2 linked regions of the Canis lupus familiaris genome follow. The protein of the gene in region 2 purifies or fractionates together with the protein of the main gene of each other region. This does not show direct contact. Links are inferred from orthologs where the notes say so. Each region holds a gene or a part of one and is shown on either strand. Other genes may lie near its edges.

Region 1 (4,403 bases), on a different chromosome or scaffold from region 2:
GCACAGAAAATGTTTTCATCGTTTGTAGGGACATAAAGAATCCAAGGCAAATCCGTGTATCATTTCTAATTGACCTTAGAATACATTAGACGCTAGAAGAACTTCATTTGTCAGTTTCTAAGAAGCAGATCAACTTTCTTAATCACTATTTAGGCCAATACAGAAATTCACACTCCTTGAGCATGCCAGCTCAAGGGATGGCAGATAATCTAGAAAAACGTCACTAGGACTTGGAGAAATCTGCTTAAAATTTTTAAATAGCCAAAGCTGGCATAAAAGTCTCAGAACTGGGGATCCCTGGGTGGCTCAGCGGTTTAGCGCCTGCCTTTGGCCCAGGGCTCGGTCCTGGAGTCCCCAGATCCAGTCTGTCGTCAGGCTCCCAGCATGGAGCCTGCTTCTCCCTCCTCCTGTGTCTCTGCCTCTCTGTCTCTGTCTCTCTCTCTTTATGTCTATCATAAATGTCTCAGAACTTTTATTTTGCCCTAAATCAACAAGTGTTTTTTTTTAATCACTGCTACTTAAAAGTGACTTGTATATACTCACAATTCAACCAGAAAAAAAAAAAAAATCTAAGCCAAAGCCCCAAAAAGGCTTTTTAAAAAATTTTTGTGGCACGTATAAGGACAGTAATTATCAATTACAGAATACACAAGGGAAAAACTAGAATTTATCCTAAAAGATCCAAATTTCTGCCAAGATCTGCATAACTCATCTCCTAACAGTGGGCAAGAACTATCAGGACTTTTTAATAGATAATTATCAGCAACTAAATCTAAACATCATTTAAGCATCTCAACCCTGAGGCAGCACCTGGGACGTCCGTTCAACGGTGTCCAACAGTCTCTGCAAAATATTCGTAATAAAGACTTTCACACTGCGTTTCTTTTGTCTCCATTTTTATGCAACCAGAAGACAGTAGGTGCACATTAGCTCTTTATCAGAACGCAAATAAAGAAGAGTGCCTGTGGGTCTCTAAATTCCTTTTCTTTGAATATGTTCGGTTTCCACAAAAATCAGAAAGGAAGATGCAATTTTCCTAAGTTTCCAAGAGTTTAAACATCCCGTATCCTGATCGGTCTACAAAAACACATACAGGAATCTTTACACATAGGACTAGAATCCCATCTAGCCCCAACTTAGACCCTACGAAAAGAACATCAAGATACATCTCAACCATTTTCGTCTTCCTGCATATAAGATCATCAATAAAGTGGTCAGGCTCTGAACACCTGTCCACTTTATTCCTAAATATGAAAAAGAGTTGCTAATGCTCACGGAAAGAAGAGTGATGAAAAACCACCTCCAAAGCCCCAGAGAAGTACAGATCATAATTCAACCGTACGAGCACTGGACTTTTTTTTTTTTTTAAGATTTTTTTTTTCTTCTTCTTCCCCAAAGGTTGCTTTAGGTAATTTTCAAACGCCAAAGAATGCAACCGCTGAGCTCCGGAACCAAGAAAGCAAACCGTGTGGAATACTTTTCAATTCCAGAGCCGGGTTGTTATTTCCACACGGATCTTTTAAGTTTTACGGGTCCTGTGCTGCAAACAAAGGAAGTTTAGCTTGACTGCGGGCAGCACACGTTGGGTTTCTTAGGCGACACACGCTGTCTGCGTCCAGGCTTTCCTGCCTCCCCAAACCTATTGTTCGGGGGAAGTTAAGACCCGTCCGTGGGAAGGAGCTCGTCAGCCTCCAGACGCGCGTCGGTCCCGCGCCCGCCCGCCCCTCCGCCCGCCCGCAGGGTGCTCGCCGCCGTCCCGCCGCGGGGCCTGGGGCCGGCCGCCTGCGGGGCAGCGGGTTTCCTCGGCACCTGCCGCCCCCTCCGACGCACCCCACCGGTTGGCCAGGGCGGCCCGCGGCTGCTTTTCTCTCTTGGGGACGGCGATTCTTTGCAAAGTGGGAACTCCCCGAGACGCGCCGAGTTCACCCAAGTTTTCCGAAAAGAGCACGCTCCTCGGCTCGTCCCGTTTCCCGAAAGGGACCCCGCGGCACGGACTCCGTGGGGACGAGGAGACGGGGGAGGGGAGGGAGGGCGAGAGGGGACCCCGCAGGCCCAGGAAGCCGAGACGGGGCGGACGGCCCGGCCCTGCCCGGCCCTGCCCGGCCCTGCCCTGCCCGCAAACTTAGGAGAAGGGCGGCCCGGCACCGCCTCGTCCGCGCGGCCGCCCCAGCCCCGGCTCCGCTCGCCGGGCCCGCGCGCGGGGAGGGGGCGCGGGGCGCGGGGCGCGGGGAGGGGGCGCGGGGCGCGGGAGGGGGCGCGGGGCGAGAGGCGAGGGGCCGAGCGCCCGCCGCCGGGCTCCCCGCGCCGCCCCCGCCCGCTGTCAGGCCCGCGGGGCTGCCCCGAGACGCCGGCCGCCCTTTGTCTGCGTGCGCGCCCGGCGGCGCGGTCCCACCAACTTGTGTGCGCCCCGCGCCCCGTCCCGCCCGGGCGCCCCGCCGCGGCGCTCCACACAAAGGAGCCCGCGCGCCCGGACGGCGGACGGCGGGCGCCCCCAGCCCAGCCAGCCCGGCGCCCGCGGACGACCCCTCCGCACGCCCCCCCCGCCCCCGCCCCCCGCCTCGGGCGCCCGCGGCCCCCGCCCGGCCCCCGCCCCGCCCCCGCTCCCGCCCCCGCCCCGCGGCATCCCCGCGCCCCCCGCCCGCCGCGCCGGCGCCCGCGACACCCCGCTCGGGGCGACACCCGCACGGGCAGCGCGGCGTTGGGGATGTCCCGGCGCCGCCGCCGCCCCCCGCCGGGCTCCAGGGCCCCGCCGCCGGCCGGCCCGACAGCGGCGCGTTACCTGCGCCCCGCGCCCAGCCCGCGCCGCTCCCGCTCCCGCTCCCGCTCCCGCCGCTCCCGCCGCCGCCGCCGCCGCCGCCGGGGCCCCACCGCCTTCTGCGTCCCAGCGGGTGTCGGGCGCTCCCGGACCGAGCGCCAAACCCGGCAGCCCAATCGCCAGCGCTTTTATTTGGCCCCCCCTGTCCAACTAAGCGCCGCCCCGATTGGCGGGCCGCGGCGGGCTCCCGTCCAATCACAGGGCCCGCCGGGCTCGGAGGCGCCGCGCCAGCCCCACGCAGAGGCGCCCGCGGGACTCGGCCGGGCCGGGCGGGCGGCGCGTGCGCGCGGGCGCGGGCGCGGGCGCGGGCGGGCGCTGAGGGACGCGGCCGCCGAGTGGAAGCGCCGCGCCGTTTCTTTGTTCTTTGGCGGAACGCACGGCGCCTCGCGGGAAGGCGGGAAGGCGGGAAGGCGGGCGGGCGGGCGGGCGGGGACGCGGGGGCCTGCGCAGCGCCGGGCCCGGGCGGGGAGGGCGGGGTGGCGGGAACCGGCCGGAGGGCGGGACGGCGCGCTCGCGGCGCTTGGCGGGAACCGCCGCCTCGGAGTTCCCGGGCCCGAGAGGCGGGGCGGGGCCGAAAGCCAAGTTTGAACCAGTTCAAAACTCGGGGGTGGTAACGGTTGCAACTGCCGCGCTCTTTTCCCCGCGCGCCGGGCCGGGCCGGGCGGGGAGCGCGGGGCCGGGGCCGGGGCCGGGGTGGGGCCGGGGGCGGGGGCGGGGGCGGCGCACCGGGTTAGAGACCCGGGCTGCAGGGGCGCCCCGCACCTGGGCCCGGGGCAGACGCCGAGCCCGGACCCTGGCAGCGCGCGTGTCGGCGTGCAGGGAAGATGAAAGAGAATCCTTGCTCAAGGACCGCTGTGGTTCCCTCGCCTCCTGCTAATGCTTCTGGAAAACGAAAACCCTTTTCGATGATCATTAGGTGATCTTGGAGGAAAACCTTGTCGCACCGGGAGGAATCGGGGACGTGTCGGGTTTTAGGGCACAGTCTCCTCCCCCTTTGGCTCTCGTCTGTCGAGGAAGTCAAGATTGGGCCGAATTTATTTAGCAGGACGCAGTTATATAGTTAGTTATAGGATGCAACTGTGCAGTGGTAGGATGCGAACATCACTCATGCGAACTGGGGTTCCATGCTGAGAGTCAGACCCCGGGTCACCTACGAACTGTTGAGTCTAAAACCCTAAGGACACCGTGTTTCTTTTATATATGTATATTTAGTATTATAATATTGTAATATATTATCATATATTAATATAATATTATGTTAATAGTAAATTTAATATATTAACATAATATTATATATTATATGTATGATTTTTTTTAATTAGCTCAGACTTTTTAATGACTCAAGTCTTGGTCTGGTGATTTAAGCCATAATTTTCCCACCTTTTCCTAAATCATCGTCCAGTTGCTCAGCTGTATTCCCGACCAATTCAATGTCAGGATTACATGCGGCGGGAAGCCACAGAGGAAAATAACCGTGTGCCCAAATGGAAGCACGGTTATGAACATAGAATAAGTGCAAGAGTAGGTTGTGCATGTGAGATGTAACTGTGAAATAACGCAAAAATCCATCTACCAAACACCCAACAGC
Region 2 (3,734 bases):
GTGGTCCATGGCTGGCAGAGTGGCTACCAGCACAAGCGGATGCCCTTACTGGATGTCAAGACCTAACCAGACCCCTCCCAGCTCTCCAGAACCATAGGATCTGGGGCGTGCCCTGGGCCTGCAGTCTGCTGCCTCCCTCTCCGCTAGCACTCACCCAGCTCCCCCTGCTGGGAACTGTCTCCTCTTTCCACCCATCCCCAGCAGCACCTCACTCCCCCACCCTCCACAGGGCCCTCAGCCCTGTGTGACAGGGTGCAGCCAACCACCCACCGTCTCATGGGCACCACCTGGCTTTGAACGAGTTTCCACGGTGACAGGGCCTAATGTATAGTATTCAGTATATATATTTTGTAAATAAAATGTTTTGTGGCTAGGGGTATTTTTTTTTTTTTTCCCAAGAAAGGCTTAAATTACCTTCCCTGGAGCTAATACTTCTCTTCCCCTCTCCTGAGCTGAACAGAGCCCTTGGGTAAGCCACCCCCTCAACTAGATCTTTGGCTTCCACACACCTTTCACAACTACCCCAGGTGCCCACCAGAGGAAGACTCCAGTCCAGAAAAGGATATTTTTTTTATTCAAGTAACTGCAAATAGGAAACCAGATGGGGGGGCCCCAGGCTGGGACAAATAATGACTACCTCCTCCCCAGCAGAACAGGGGGAGAAGGTGGCCCCTACACCCTTGACGGTCTATACAGGCCCCCCCCCTCACTCTGCTGCAGCATCCTAGGGGCAGAGCCCCACCTTCCCTGGGACTGGGGTAATCGGTAACCCAGCCTGCTCTGCCCTGGGGCCCTTCCCCTAAGAGTCTCGGAGGAGGGGATGTGGGCAGGACAGGAGGAGGCAATGAGGATGAACATTTGGCGCTGGTCACAGCAGCAATGACAGATGTCTAAGAATGGAAACATTGAACAAAAACAACACAACTGTCCAGAGGTAGTTTGTGAACAGAGGAAAAGATGGAACCAGAACCTTGGGGGGTGGGGAGGAGCAGAAGGGTGGGAGTGGGCAAGGCTAGCTCCTTGTTATCAGTGCCCCATGTAAGGAAAGGGGATACTGAGGCCGAGGGGGAAGCGCATGGGGTTGGGCAGGCGCTCTAGCCCACCTCAGGTGGCTGCCACAGGGACCGTGGACCTCCTGAGCCTCACCTGGATAAAGGGGGGGAATGCATTTCCCTCACTGCAACAGATTCCAGGAAGGAAGGTGGGCTGGAGCCCATTTAGAGTAGGGGGGGCTCAAACCCCTCCTGCCTTCCTTCCTGTGCCCAAAGGGGGCTGTCTGACCCAGAGCAGGGACCAGGCAAAGTGGGAAGGAAGAGAAGTGGGTGTGAACCGCACCTAATGAAACACAGGTCAGTCGGGGGGCGTCTTGGGGCCGAGTGCCCCTCCCTACCGGCCATACCTGCTGCTGCCAGTGCTGTGGAGTGGGGCAGATCAGAATGAGATGGGCGCTTGGGCCCCTTTTAAGGCCAGGGGAGCCCTCCCAGGCCCCTTAGTGGGTAGCCAGAGGAAGAAAGGGGAAGCAGAAGGGATTCCCCCCCCAAAGCCAAGAGCCCGGTCAGCGATGTCCCCACCACTGAGCAGGAGGATGCGGCAGGGGCAGGGCATACGGTGCAGTGGGAAGTCAGCCTTGTCTGGAAGGGCAAGTGTGCGTGTGGGTGGAGGGGTCACTGGAAACCAAGACCAAAGGAGACGGCTCCCCACTCGGGCCTTGGGGCCCCGCAGCGGCTGGTGTGCTGTGTAGTGTGGTGGTGAAGGCGCAGGGGGGTGGCGGGGAGGCGTGGGTCTGGGGGAAGGGGCAGGGGCGGTGGGAGCGGAGCGGAGCTGTCCAGTCCCAGAAGGAAACTGCCCCTCGGTGAAGGAGCGGGCGGCACGGCGCGGTCACTGCTCCTCTTCGGAGGACTCCTGCGAGATGCCCTCTTCTTCCTCCTTCTCCTGTGAGGTGGACAGGGCAGTCAGTGGGAGGGGCAGGCACAGGCCAGGATCGCTCCCACCCCTCCCCGGGCTCCCTGGCTCTCCAGAAGGGGGATGAGTCAAGGCTGAGTGTGTGAGTGACTCAGCAACCTCCACGGCCCAGTTTCATTCATAAAAAAGGAAGAATTTAGAGGGAGGGAAAAAAAAAACCCCACACACATGCTGCTCTTGCACCAGGCCAGGCCCCCTTGGCCCCCGGGCCTGTGGTGGACATGGCAGGACCCGCAGAGCCCCGTGTGGCACTGAGCTGCAGCCTGAGGAAGTGAGTGGCTCTCTGTAGGAAGAGAAGGGAGAGGTGGCCAGAAAGAGGAAGCGGGAAGGGGCGGCTGCGGGGTGTGCTGGGTGCAGTGCCGGGGAACCAGGTGGCCTTGGCCCGCAGAGGCAGCTGATGGGCCATGGACTGACCCCGGGCCAGGGCGGGGAGGAAGGGGAAGTGTGTGCCGCCGGGGCTCACTCACTGGGCGGGAATGTCGGGACACCACATGGGCCTGCGGCCCCCGTGCCAGGCACAAACTCCAAAACAACTTGTTTCCTGTTACTCACTCCTGGGGCCGGGCCAGCACCCCCTAACTCCCCTCCTCACCCTGGTGGTGGCTCAGCTCGAGGAATGAAGGCCTTGAGATCAGATTGGGGGGTGGGGTAGGTAGGAAAAGGCCAGAAAGAGCAGGCTGGGGTGGCCTTAACTTCAGTATAGGCCCTAGAAGCAGCCTCCTGGACTCCGCCTACCTTCTTTCATTAACAGGTGTTGGGGGCGGGGGGGGGGGGGGGGGGGGGCTCAGAATCGGATGGTCCCAGTTGAGGTGCTGAGTGGGATCACCTCTCTGCTCCCACAGAGCACTACCCACCTGCCCCAGGGCTGAGCTCCTTTGCTGCTGCTTCCTTCGCTACCCAAGAGCGTGGGGAGGACAGACCTCACCCTATGCTCATAGTCTTCTTTCCTCATTTCTATAATGGGGCCCGGGGGTGGGAGACTAGATGACCTCCAAGTTCCCCCTAGAAATGGAGTCTGTTCTAGGAGTAGAGGAAAGAGAAGTAGCCCCAACCCACCAGGGCAGGGCAGGGGTCAGAGTCTGGTTTGTCCCCAGGACCCTTCACTTCTCAGGGACACAGCCCTTTAAAAGCCGTGGGCTGGGTGCCAGGACCCTCGGCCACACGCACATCCTCTCCCTCTCCAGGCCTGGGTAGAAAGAATGATGATGTCCCACTAGGATTCCTGGCTCAGGTTGGGCAAAGCCATCTTCCCAGGCAGAGCACGCAGGACTAATCTGTCACCCATTCTTAAACACCCTCCCAGGAAGTAAGAAACCGCCGCCATCCCTTCACCTACCAGTTTTTTGGGTCTGCCCCTCGGTTTCCTCCCTGGAGTTGTGGTAGTTTTCTAGATGGTCAGAGAAAAAGATCCACTAAGTTGAAAAACATCCCTACCACTGCTCACCGGATGCCCAGTGCCCCACCAGGATGGGGAGGGACCGAACCACCTACCTCTGCTCAGGGCAGCCTGGGACTCCCTCAGCCTGCGGGCCCACCCGAAGCCAGCTGGTGATGACTGGCTAGCCACACTGCACCCCCCCCCCAATATACACACACGCCCCCCACTCCCTCCTCCACCCATGACTCAGAGGATATGAGTCGTGTCTCAGAAAAAATAAAATAAAAAACAAAACAACTTCTCTGAGAGACTGATGCCACTGTAAATCTGGCCTACCCTGCTTGGCCCCATTTCTCTGGGGATTCAGGGGACCCCGGAATGGAACGGAACATGG

The links.
Region 1: the proteins of HMGA1 (region 2) and EZH2 purify together in Homo sapiens (affinity purification with mass spectrometry; 3 studies listed by BioGRID and IntAct, with this or other methods). This does not show direct contact. The link is inferred for Canis lupus familiaris from reciprocal best matches to the Homo sapiens genes HMGA1 and EZH2.

Annotation. Positions count from the first base shown.
Region 1 is NC_049237.1:1,579,595-1,583,997, reverse strand, and holds the start of EZH2 (histone-lysine N-methyltransferase EZH2), read right to left. Parts: upstream 2,835-4,403; 5' UTR 2,780-2,834; intron 1-2,779. UniProt on the Homo sapiens protein: Polycomb group (PcG) protein. Catalytic subunit of the PRC2/EED-EZH2 complex, which methylates 'Lys-9' (H3K9me) and 'Lys-27' (H3K27me) of histone H3, leading to transcriptional repression of the affected target gene.
Region 2 is NC_049233.1:3,713,742-3,717,475, reverse strand, and holds the end of HMGA1 (high mobility group protein HMG-I/HMG-Y), read right to left. Parts: intron 3,350-3,734; coding exon 3,299-3,349; intron 1,933-3,298; coding exon 1,879-1,932; 3' UTR 596-1,878; downstream 1-595. Other genes in the region: SMIM29 (small integral membrane protein 29), read left to right, coding at 1-66. UniProt on the Homo sapiens protein: HMG-I/Y bind preferentially to the minor groove of A+T rich regions in double-stranded DNA. It is suggested that these proteins could function in nucleosome phasing and in the 3'-end processing of mRNA transcripts.